Linked DNA regions of Arabidopsis thaliana. The protein of the gene in region 1 purifies or fractionates together with the protein of each later gene. This does not show direct contact. Each region holds a gene or a part of one and is shown in the gene's direction. Other genes may lie near its edges.

Region 1 (5,207 bases):
CAGGAAGTATTCATATCATTAACACAACTCATTGGAAGAATCAGATAAGTACATGATCGTTAAAAATATAACTGGTAGAGAGAGCAAAAAGGATATCTTGAACATATTTGCATGTTGTAGGGTTATATGAGCAATCATATCAGAGCTCACTTTCACCGCACAAATGGGACATACCTACAAGATTAACAATGTCAAAACGCAGAATTGAAAACAAATCTTGCTATTGTAGCAATAAACAAGTGTCCTAGAGTTGATTTCTTCTCTGAGGAACACTGAGTGGCAATTCCAAATACTATTTCGACGCATTTCATTAGGTTACTTTCACTTTCTTTATATCCAAGACCAGTAACTACTAAACATAGAACAGTGCTCTTACCAAGAATGATATGATGAAACAATAAATAGATTTTGATTCAAAACGAGAGAAAGGTAACATTGAGGAAATATCTACCCCATTTTTTGCATCCATAGGATGATCTTCATCAATGTGACAGCATAGAGAGACGATATCAAAATAGTCTGAACAGAACGGGCAAGCATACTCCTCCCTGAAGTCATCTTCTCCTTCTATCTCCTCAAACCCCAAGAAATTGTCTGCGTTTTTCAAAAATGAAGAAACTAGTCAAACACGGCCAAGAGAACATTCGAAAATGTGACAACTACAAAACAAAAGCCTAGAAAATAAAATGACAACTACAAAACAAAAGCCTAGAAAATAAAATGGGAAATACTAAAAACGCGTTCCATTCTCGAAGTTCCAATACAAATGGGTTTCAGAAGAAACATCAAAGATATCTAAATAAACGAATGGAAACTAGTAGATCATAAAACCTTCCCTGGCAAAGACGTCTAAGTTTGAGATGAAACTAAAGCTTTTAAAAACGTTTTTACCAACAAGAAGTTTTGTATTTACTTGTAAGTCAAACAAGAATCATCAAGATTCCAGCTTTTGACATTAAGTTCATACCAAAACCTAGAAACAAAACACACACGCTTAATCAATCCCTAAAGCCTCACATTAGTAAAATGCCTCAAAAGACAGAATTTATTTCCTCCATTTTCCTTAAATTCAATATCAGCAAAACAAACATTTGAACAATCACCATTTCAAATATTCAGAACAAGACACAATCAATGTCTTGTCCCATTTTGTTCGGAAAACCAGAACAGTAACAAAAATGTCAATCTCTTACAGTCAATCTCGATCCTTGATCAATTCAAAAGAAAACAAATTTGAGGTCTAAATATCATTGATATTTTTGCAATAGAATCAAGATTAAATTTAAGACAAAACCAATCAAATCTCAAATTAAGAAAGAACAAATCCAAGTTATAATTTTTATCAAACTCACCAGATCGAGACAAGAAATCGAGCTGATATCTTCTTGAAGCCGATGCGAGACGATCACTCCAAGAATCAGAATCCATTTTTTCTACGAAGATTATTACAAATCGAAACCAAAGAATCCACTTTTTCAACAACAACAACAAAAAATCAAATAAATTCCAAGAATCCGAATTGATCTTGAGTCCGGATAAAACAAAAACAGAGATATTCCGATTCAAGAATCAAAAGATTCCGACGAAATGCAAAGACGAAGACGACGACGACGATTTTGCGTCTTTTTTTTCTGGAATTCGTCTTTTTATCTTCTTTTTTTATTATGGTTTTTAATTCTTTGGATATAGAGAGAGAGAGAGAGTGAAAGACATAGAAGAGATGAGTTCTATTACATGTATTAAATTGTTTTTTAACAGCCCGCACGAATGCATGCCGTTTAAACCTTTTACCCGCCGTGTTTTTCCCTTTTGGAATATCAAAACGTCATGCTGTTAGTACGACGCTTACGTGTCGAAATATTATTGGTTTGTATTTGGTAAGCTGGTGAAACAGGACAAAGTTAGCCGCGCAACTGTTTTTTAACTTTTTTTTTTACTGTTTCCAAAGTTTTAAGTTTTGGGGAAATAGTGAAAAGTGAAAACCTCAATTTGCAAATCTGAGAGTTTACTTTCCTCATCGGAAAAAGTTTTGATCTCGCCGCTCTCCGAGCACTTCCTTGTCGGAGTCCCAATTTTTGTGTTCGGTTTTATTCTCGGTCGATGATGAAGCCGCGATTGTGTTCAGATCGGAGCTGATTTCGAATTTGGATGTGAAATTGAGATTCTAGGGATTTCAAATTTTGACGATCATGGCGACGAGGAATCGTACGTTGCTGTTTAGGAAGTACAGAAACTCTCTGAGAAGCGTCAGAGCTCCATTGTCGTCATCTTCATTGACGGGAACACGATCCGGCGGCGTTGGTCCGGTGATCGAGATGGCGAGTACTTCGTTATTGAATCCGAATCGCTCTTACGCTCCTATTAGTACCGAAGATCCTGGAACTTCTAGGTACTCTTCTCTCTCTTTATCAGTGAAAATGGTGAACAATTTGATCAATTAGGGTTAACTGGAAATGATTAGCTTAGCAATGAGAATGATAATACATCATTGATAGTGTAGTTGAAGTAAATGTCTGTGAGCTACGTTAAGCTGAGAGTTAGTAGTTACTGAGATATTTTTGGTCATGTTTTAGTAAAGGTGCGATAACAGTGGGCTTACCACCAGCTTGGGTTGATGTCTCTGAGGAGATATCTGTGAATATACAGCGTGCAAGGACTAAAATGGCTGAGTTGGGAAAGGCTCATGCCAAGGCGTTAATGCCATCGTTTGGGGATGGTAAAGAAGATCAACATAATATTGAGTCTTTGACACAGGAGATAACTTTTCTATTGAAGAAGTCTGAGAAGCAACTTCAGAGGCTTTCTGCTTCAGGGCCTTCTGAAGATTCAAATGTTAGGAAAAATGTGCAGGTAGTTTTGACTTGATGGAAGCTGCTCTTAACACATTTCCTTTCTTTTTGCTGCATTTGCCATTGCTATCTAAGATTTATCATGTGTGTTTAATAACAGCGGTCTCTTGCCACTGACCTCCAACTTCTTTCTATGGAGCTTCGCAAAAAACAGTCAACATATTTGAAACGCTTGAGGCAGCAAAAAGAGGTATGAAACTATTATCTATTTTAGTGTAATTGGCATTTCTTATACCGGAAACTATGTGATGTTGCAGTGTCTCATTCTTTGAAGTTTTTGTTTGCTTTCTGCTCCTCCGCCTCAAATGAAACTTCTTTACATCGATTTCATAGATGATAGATTCTTTTAGTACTTGTTTTTTCAGAGTATATTATTCTGTCCTCTCAAGAAGCTTTGACTTGAAATGTATTATCATTTATCAGGATGGGATGGATTTAGAGATGAATCTGAGCAGAAACAGATATAGACCTGAAGAGGATGACTTTGGCGATATGGTTTGACTCCTATACCTGTTTCATTCTATCGATTTAAAGCAATCATTCGTCTTATGTCTTCTTTATTGATGGAATTTTTTCTCGATTCCTTTTTAGTTAAACGAGCATCAGATGTCAAAGATAAAAAAGAGTGAAGAAGTATCTGTAGAGAGGGAGAAAGAGATACAACAGGCAAGTGCTTGCACTACGTCTTTGTTCTTAGTTGTTTGTAGCTCACCAACGTTTTTTTTTTTCTTTTGCAATCAATCATAATCTTTTTTCTTCTTCGTTGTCTGTGTCATTGTCCAGGTTGTAGAATCAGTAAACGATCTTGCTCAAATTATGAAGGATCTTTCTGCACTTGTGATAGATCAGGTTAAACTTATTTAATCCCATATTCTCTTTGTCTAGCTTTTGAGTCTTCTTCCTTTCGAAAAACAAACTCAAAGCAACCCGTTTAATTGCAGGGTACAATAGTTGATCGGATAGACTATAATATCGAAAACGTCGCTACTACTGTTGAAGATGGTCTCAAACAACTACAGAAGGTAAAAATAGTGTTCTCTCTTCAACATTAATGTCCAACTATTTGTTTGTCCCAATTCTAAATGAAGTGGATCGCATAAAAAAACTTCACAGGCAGAGCGAACGCAGAGACATGGAGGTATGGTGAAGTGCGCATCCGTGCTTGTCATCCTCTGTTTCATCATGCTGCTACTCTTAATCCTCAAGGAAATATTCTTGTGATCGGATACTATAATCCCTGGTTAGATCAATAAGAAAAGTTCGATCCTTAACTATTTCATTCTTTAGCCCCGAACATCGCATGTTTTCCTTCAGGGCTTTTGGTTTCAACTTCTTTGCATTTAACAATACTAAGATCCTTTGCAGAGTAGTTAGTACGTAATATTATTGTGTAGAAGAAGACCATAGATAGTCAGAGGTCGATGTCTGAGGAGTTGAGAGATCTGTGCACCAACGCCAAAATACTCTCTTCACGCTAAAGTCAAGTGTTCTTTTAAAATGTATAAGATTCCAGTCATAGTTGTTGGAACTTGTTTTTGACAAAATGGTTTTGACCATTGTAACTTGTGGATTTTCCGGTGAAGACGTTCATTGGAGTGACCAGATTTCGGGCAAGATGGAATCGTAGCTGCGAGCACTACATGGTGGAGTATTCAAATGTGAAAACGAGTTTGTTTGAAATCTTTTACTTTCCGGTTATTGTATCTTCGCATAAATTACAAATTCTCAACATTCTAGTTCTTTTAAAAACATATATCATTTACAAATGTATAAATATTTTTCACTTGAAACAATGAAAACTTTATACACGTTTTTGTGATGAGTTAATATGAATTAAATTACATCTCAAGTTCTCAACTCTAGTTTGAAATTGGTCATGCCAAATAGCCTAATTGAACTTGTATTGTTATTGTGTCATTATCATGGTTCAAACCCATATTATAATCATACTGTTGACAAAAATTATAATTTTAATATTAAATTTGTGTTATTATTTTTGTAGATAATTAGCTGGAGGGTTTTTAAAAGAAAAATATAAAAAAAAAATTAAATAATGATTATATCAGCGCTTAAAAAAGATAGTATTATCCTGGATAGCACATTATTTTTTTTATCTGTTTCTAATGATTCTTTAAATTACCTTTAAATATAATAAATTACATATCTAAGAATTTTTTAAAATTTATGATAATATTTTATCTTTTTTAAATGTAGCATGTATATAATAAATTTAAAACTTATATTATATATAGTGCTTCAATAAAATCCTTGAACATGTATAACCAAAAAAAAACCTCAAACAACATGTGCATGGATGTTTACCAATTATCATTTAAAATATAGTTATCTTATTTACAA
Region 2 (6,608 bases), on another chromosome or scaffold:
GGAAGTAAACTTTGATTTGAATGACAGGCCACAGTTTTTCATTGATTCACGTGATCAGGGTCCCTACTATGGGCGGCACCCATGGAGTACAGCCTCCTATGGGGGGCACAAATTGGAAGAACCAGGTATATCTATCTTGGGTACAAAAGTGGAAGCTGACAGAAAAGACTCTGTACCTCAGATGGCTTCGTTCTTGTCCAATGGCAAGTCCCTCGAGCCTGCAACAGGTTTACACATGGGAAGAACGGGAAACTCTTTGGGTCTAGCCCCTGGTGTCTCCTTTTCTCCAGCCCCTATGTATGGCTACAACGGATTGACTGGTCCTCCTGGTTTGTCAATGTCATCACCCATGTATGTTCCTGGAACTGCTATTCCATACATGGTGGATTCAAGAGGTACCCCAGTGATGATGCCGCAAATAATCGGATCAGCGCCGTATGTGCAGCCACCATTCCCTCAACAACACATGTTCATGAGCTTGGCGGGTGGATCGCCTAGTACGAATGGATCAATGCGGCCAAACTTTGATCAGAACTCTGGGTTTGGACTTGAGATAGGAAACAGAGAGTCGCTAAATTTGAGGCAGTTTCTATCACCTTCACAAAGCGGGGCTATGGGAGAGCATTCAGGAGCAAATGTAGAGCCCTCATCGAGTTCTTCTATCAGCATTGGTGGAAAGCGAAAAGAGCCGGAGCCACGTTGGGAGTTTCCTCCATGGAGGTGAGTGATCTACAAAGTGGTGGAGATGGGTTCTTGAATAGGTTGATGAATTGATTGATTGGTCAAAGGATGATGACAAGTGTTTTGAGGTAACTTATAAAGTGTCTTGCTGAACTTTTCCTTCTTTTTTTTTTATTTCCTCAGTTTTCCCATTTTTCAGGTTTTTTATTTTATTTCATAACATATAGGAGGATTAGTTCAAACATTGGTATATGTCAAGCTTCTTTTTAACCTTGTTGGGTTTTTCTCCATAAATAAATATATAGTTTTAAGATACAGAAAAGGTTCTAGTGGTTTGATTAATCTGTTGCGTCCATTTTCGTTCCATTCGTCGATATGTTATGCTCTCATTTCTGAACAACTGTTCATGGAAGAAAGCAGCGAAGGAGGTCTCTGGTGAGGAAGGAAGTCTCTCACGTGTTGTATCTTTCAATAAATAATGGGACCAAATAGACATTACCATTTTTGAACCGCGCATACATATTGCTACTACGGATGAGTGATGACTATGATCTTCCCAAATTGACAAATTGTATCGCCTTTAGGCGAGACTTTAGCCATCAACCGATTAAAGCCAGCCAAACGTAATAACCTTGGCAAGCATAATCATCGTTGTACAAAGAAAAACATCATTTTACTTTTGTATCCGACATCAATAAAAGCATAGCATCCTAATATCCAATAGTTATTTGTCACATGTAAAACAACTAAATATAGCCGTCCGATCGTCCCAATTAGGACGTAAACGAATATCACCGTTGATTTAGCATACTTTGATAATTTAAAAGTCGTCCATCCACGCCACAACCCCGAAATCCACGTCGCTCCACGTCAAGAACAAAACCTTGCTCCAATACAAAACTACCACGTGGCTATCTCACAATACGATCCGTTAGATCTGACACGTTGGCAAATCATGACGAAGCTAACCAATCAGGAGAAACTAAAGTGTACGCAACTAAACAGTTCACACATCACTGAATCATTTCCTATTATATACGGATCTATCGAGCTGAATCATCATCATCACTGAGTAACCCGAAAGCAAAGACTGAGAGAACCAAGGCTCCGATCTAACAATGAGGAAGAGGACGCTCGTGTCCGTTTTGTTCCTTTTCTCGCTTCTGTTTCTTCTTCCAGATCAAGGTACGTTTCGATGTATATATGTGTTGATTTTGAGTAGATAGATATAAGTGTTGCTTAGGATTCATATGCTGATGATGGCGATATTTCTGTGGTGTTTATCATAGGAAGAAAGTTACACGCGAATGCAGAAGAGAGTTCCGATGATGTTACAGATCCACCAAAAGTTGAGGAGAAAATTGGTGGTCACGGTGGTTTATCGACGGATTCCGATGTAGTTCATAGGTTAGTGTTCTGTTAGTTTCACGGTAGAACTTTCGCTTGGATTGCTTGAATCTTGCCTTATTCGAATTCGTTTGATCGACAGAGAGTCTGAGTCGATGTCAAAGAAGACGCTTCGCAGTAACGCGGAGAAGTTTGAGTTCCAAGCTGAGGTTTCTCGGCTTATGGACATTATTATCAACTCTCTATACAGTAACAAGGACATTTTCTTAAGAGAGTTGATCTCCAATGCTTCTGATGTAAGCAGCTTCGTGTACATTGTTTTAGTGAGTTTTTGGGATACCTCGTTAAATAGGGGAACTAATAAGTGTCTGTGTTGGTGATTTTCAGGCCTTGGACAAAATTAGGTTCCTTGCACTCACTGACAAAGACGTTTTGGGTGAAGGTGACACTGCTAAGCTTGAGATCCAGGTTAGCTACATGTTTCTCAATATGATTTTTATGCTTGAGAGTGTTGAAAATAGAGTTTCATCGATTTGTTTTATCAAATGCTGATCTCAGTAAATTTAGCCTTTCGTTGGAATTGTGTCTAGTGTAAGCTTTTTTCTTACCTCCGTAACTATGCTATGGTATGCAGATTAAGCTAGACAAAGCCAAGAAGATTCTTTCTATTCGAGACCGGGGAATTGGTATGACTAAGGAAGACTTAATCAAGAACCTTGGTACCATAGCAAAATCTGGAACGTCAGGTACGTTACTTATGTGGTGATACGTTGTCCTGCATAATAGTATGGATCAATAAATTCCATATTTCTAAGATCTTGCCTTTCGCAGCTTTTGTTGAGAAAATGCAATCAAGTGGGGATTTGAACCTTATTGGACAATTTGGAGTTGGATTCTACTCTGCCTATCTTGTTGCTGACTACATTGAAGTCATTAGCAAGCACAATGATGACAGCCAGTAAGTTGATTTAGAGGGCTTTGTTTGGCAATATACTTGTGGGCATGTAAAATCATTGAAAAGCTTTTCTGATAACTTCTTTTCCGTTTTCAGGTATGTATGGGAATCAAAGGCTAACGGTAAATTTGCTGTTTCCGAGGATACATGGAATGAGCCTCTTGGACGTGGAACCGAGATTAGATTACATCTTAGGGATGAAGCTGGCGAGTACCTAGAAGAAAGTAAACTTAAGGTGGGTAATATTTTGATAAGAAAGTAAATTTCTCTTTTGTTACAAACCTAAATTAAGCAATGCAAAGAACCAGAATAACCCAGGGTTTGTTGTAGAGAACCCCAAACTCTCCTGAGGGGAAGTGGTTCAGCATTATTATGAATTCAGTGCACTGCTTATTCAATATTTCTGTTTATCCTCTCATTATGGTTGCTAATGATCATTGTTGTCTACTACAGGAATTGGTGAAGAGATATTCTGAATTCATTAACTTCCCTATCTCCCTCTGGGCTAGCAAAGAGGTTGAAACCGAGGTCCCAGTTGAGGAAGATGAATCAGCTGATGAGGAAACTGGTGAGTATTAATGAAACACCATATTATAATTTTCTGCTGCAGTGTTATCTTTTTTCCCTTCAGTTTAGGCAGCCCTGATTTTTGGTAATGGTACTTGACTTCAGAAACCACCTCTACCGAGGAAGAAAAGGAAGAAGATGCTGAGGAGGAAGATGGTGAGAAAAAGCAGAAAACCAAGAAGGTGAAAGAAACAGTTTATGAATGGGAGCTTCTGAATGATGTTAAGGCTATATGGCTGAGAAGTCCAAAGGAGGTGACAGAGGAAGAGTACACTAAATTCTACCACTCTCTCTCAAAGGTGAAAACCATGCGTTAACTAAATCATACTTGTTACATACTAGGTGTAAAATTTTCGTGTGGATTTCCCTGACCCCAGTTGTTATACAGGATTTTACCGACGAGAAGCCAATGGCTTGGAGTCACTTTAATGCTGAAGGTGATGTTGAATTCAAGGCTGTGTTGTATGTTCCTCCGAAAGCTCCCCATGATCTATACGAGAGCTATTACAACAGCAACAAGGCGAACTTGAAGCTATATGTCAGGAGGGTGTTCATCTCAGATGAATTTGATGAGCTTCTGCCTAAGTATTTGAGTTTCTTGAAGGTAAACTACTTGAAAGACAAACTAAGGGGTTCTTTCAATACAAATTTATGGGCTAAATCCCTAACGTGAGTTGCTTTTGCAGGGTCTTGTTGACTCTGACACATTGCCTCTAAATGTATCAAGAGAAATGCTTCAACAACACAGCAGCTTAAAGACAATTAAGAAGAAGCTTATCCGAAAGGCGCTTGATATGATCCGCAAGCTTGCTGAAGAAGATCCTGATGAAATCCATGATGATGAGAAAAAAGGTATTCCATAAAACAAGTTTCTTGGTATCAATCCACTTTGACCGTTCCACTTTTTTTTACCATTTGGTAGCTTCATCTTTCTGAAACATGGTCTAAGCTTATTGACTTGTTGGCACGCAGATGTGGAGAAGTCTGGTGAGAACGATGAGAAGAAGGGTCAATACACAAAATTCTGGAACGAGTTTGGCAAGTCTGTCAAACTAGGTATCATTGAGGATGCTGCTAACAGGAACCGCTTGGCAAAACTTCTTCGTTTTGAGACGTAAGCTCTGTTACTTTTTTTTTAATACACGTCTGTCCATTCATTAGCACCAGCAGGCTAAAGATTTGTATTTTGCTATTTCAGAACAAAGTCCGATGGAAAATTGACTTCCCTGGATCAGTACATTAAGAGAATGAAAAAGAGCCAAAAGGACATATTTTACATCACAGGAAGCAGCAAGGAACAGCTAGAGAAATCTCCATTCCTGGAGAGGCTCATCAAGAAGGGCTATGAGGTTTGCATTGCACACGAATAATTCTTCTTTAAATGATCTCCAACTCGCATAACACGTTCTCATACTTGTGTTCCCAGGTCATCTTCTTCACAGACCCAGTTGATGAATACTTGATGCAATACCTGATGGATTACGAAGACAAAAAGTTCCAGAATGTGTCCAAGGAAGGACTGAAGGTTGGGAAAGATTCAAAAGACAAGGAGCTGAAGGAAGCATTCAAGGAGCTAACAAAGTGGTGGAAAGGAAATCTCGCTAGCGAAAACGTAGACGATGTCAAAATCAGCAACCGTTTGGCTGACACTCCATGTGTAGTCGTAACATCCAAGTTTGGATGGAGTGCTAATATGGAGAGGATCATGCAGTCCCAAACTCTCTCGGATGCTAATAAGCAAGCTTACATGCGCGGAAAGAGAGTCCTCGAGATCAACCCACGACACCCTATCATCAAAGAACTCAAGGATAGAATTGCAAGTGACCCAGAGGTAAAACAAACATAAGACCCATCAATTCTTTTTTTTACTTACTGTCTATTAGAGAAATAAACTAACATACCAAATTCTCTCAGGATGAGAGTGTGAAGGAAACAGCACAGCTCATGTACCAGACAGCTTTGATCGAGAGTGGATTCATACTCACCGACCCAAAAGACTTTGCTGCCCGTATTTATAACTCAGTCAAGAGCGGTCTGAACATCAGCCCTGATGCAGTAGCCGACGAGGAAATCGAGGCAGCAGAGGAACCAGAGACCAGTGAGGCAACTGAGACGAAATCAGATGACTTGGCTGGTGGTCTAAACATTGAAGCCGAACCCGTTGAGCAACAAGAAGAGAACACCAAGGACGAACTGTAGATTTCACTTCTGATGTTTCTCCTTTGTGTTTACCTCTTTAGTTTAAAGCAGAACATCGTTTTACTCGAATATCAAGATTAGTTTAATTAAGCAGTTTTTGATGGATTATGTAAACGCACTACTTGCATTCTAGAGATCAAGGAACCTAAACTTCTTCTTTTCAATGTATGAGTTTTTTATCTTTCAAGATTAATGGTCCTGCTGTCCGAGTTTATCTAGATTGTCCGAGTTTATCTAGATATGGTACCATAATATGCACTCTCTTTAGCTAATTTGGCCACCTATCATGCATATATTACTCGGTGTTATTTTCCACAAAATTTATTTTCGAAAACTTATGACTTTTGCAAAAATTTCAAACAGATAATCTGTAAAGCTATAGATTTTATATGGAAAAAGACTTTAATCAATATATTCGTGATAACATGGCTTTTCAAGATGTTGTTTTATCTTGTATCACTTTAAAACATAAAAGAAATTGGTCAATACTTTTGTGAGATCATCACATATCTTGAGCTTGACCCTTGAGACAACGTATATATAGAGGTGCTTTAAACTCTACTCTTGGTCTTTCTTTTTCCTCTTTTCTCTCTTGGTCTTTCGTTTTGTGAATATTCCAAACTTAATTTCTCCACCAAAAGTACTTTTTTTTTTTAATAGAGAGACAAAAATAAACAGTGATGATCATAACAGTCCTTCATTCTCATGTCTCATTCTATTTCATCATCCTTAGCTTCCTCTTCTTCCATGGTACGTAATATTCATATCTATCATACTTTCATATCAGTATGAATATTTCTATATAAAATGTAAATATTAACATATAGCTAAAGCATTGCATTTGGTAGGAAGTGATGGT

The links. The genes of interacting proteins can lie anywhere in the genome.
Region 2: the proteins of SYP41 (region 1) and SHD purify together in Arabidopsis thaliana (affinity purification with mass spectrometry, with the first as the bait; one large-scale study listed by BioGRID). This does not show direct contact.

What each region holds. Positions count from the first base shown.
Region 1 is NC_003076.8:9,487,587-9,492,793, reverse strand, and holds SYP41 (syntaxin of plants 41), read left to right. Parts: upstream 1-1,701; 5' UTR 1,702-2,189; coding exon 2,190-2,389; intron 2,390-2,573; coding exon 2,574-2,850; intron 2,851-2,949; coding exon 2,950-3,039; intron 3,040-3,272; coding exon 3,273-3,344; intron 3,345-3,440; coding exon 3,441-3,515; intron 3,516-3,632; coding exon 3,633-3,698; intron 3,699-3,790; coding exon 3,791-3,871; intron 3,872-3,962; coding exon 3,963-4,070; 3' UTR 4,071-4,661; downstream 4,662-5,207. Other genes in the region: AT5G26990 (Drought-responsive family protein), read right to left, coding at 97-174, 452-594, 1,353-1,428. UniProt on the Arabidopsis thaliana protein: Contributes to the regulation of secretory and vacuolar transport pathways in the post-Golgi network, and to the maintenance of the Golgi apparatus and trans-Golgi network (TGN) morphologies. Together with VTI12, required for membrane fusion.
Region 2 is NC_003075.7:12,551,043-12,557,650, reverse strand, and holds SHD (Chaperone protein htpG family protein), read left to right. Parts: upstream 1-1,592; 5' UTR 1,593-1,799; coding exon 1,800-1,866; coding exon of another isoform or gene 1,867-1,870; intron 1,871-1,970; coding exon 1,971-2,088; intron 2,089-2,170; coding exon 2,171-2,324; intron 2,325-2,415; coding exon 2,416-2,496; intron 2,497-2,662; coding exon 2,663-2,774; intron 2,775-2,859; coding exon 2,860-2,986; intron 2,987-3,079; coding exon 3,080-3,218; intron 3,219-3,436; coding exon 3,437-3,551; intron 3,552-3,655; coding exon 3,656-3,849; intron 3,850-3,938; coding exon 3,939-4,154; intron 4,155-4,236; coding exon 4,237-4,402; intron 4,403-4,522; coding exon 4,523-4,664; intron 4,665-4,748; coding exon 4,749-4,899; intron 4,900-4,976; coding exon 4,977-5,381; intron 5,382-5,464; coding exon 5,465-5,749; 3' UTR 5,750-6,099; downstream 6,100-6,608. Other genes in the region: AT4G24200 (Transcription elongation factor (TFIIS) family protein), read left to right, coding at 1-724; TLP1 (THAUMATIN-LIKE PROTEIN 1), read left to right, coding at 6,430-6,499, 6,583-6,608. UniProt on the Arabidopsis thaliana protein: May have a molecular chaperone role in the processing of secreted materials. Required for shoot apical meristem (SAM), root apical meristem (RAM) and floral meristem (FM) formation, probably by regulating the folding of CLAVATA proteins (CLVs).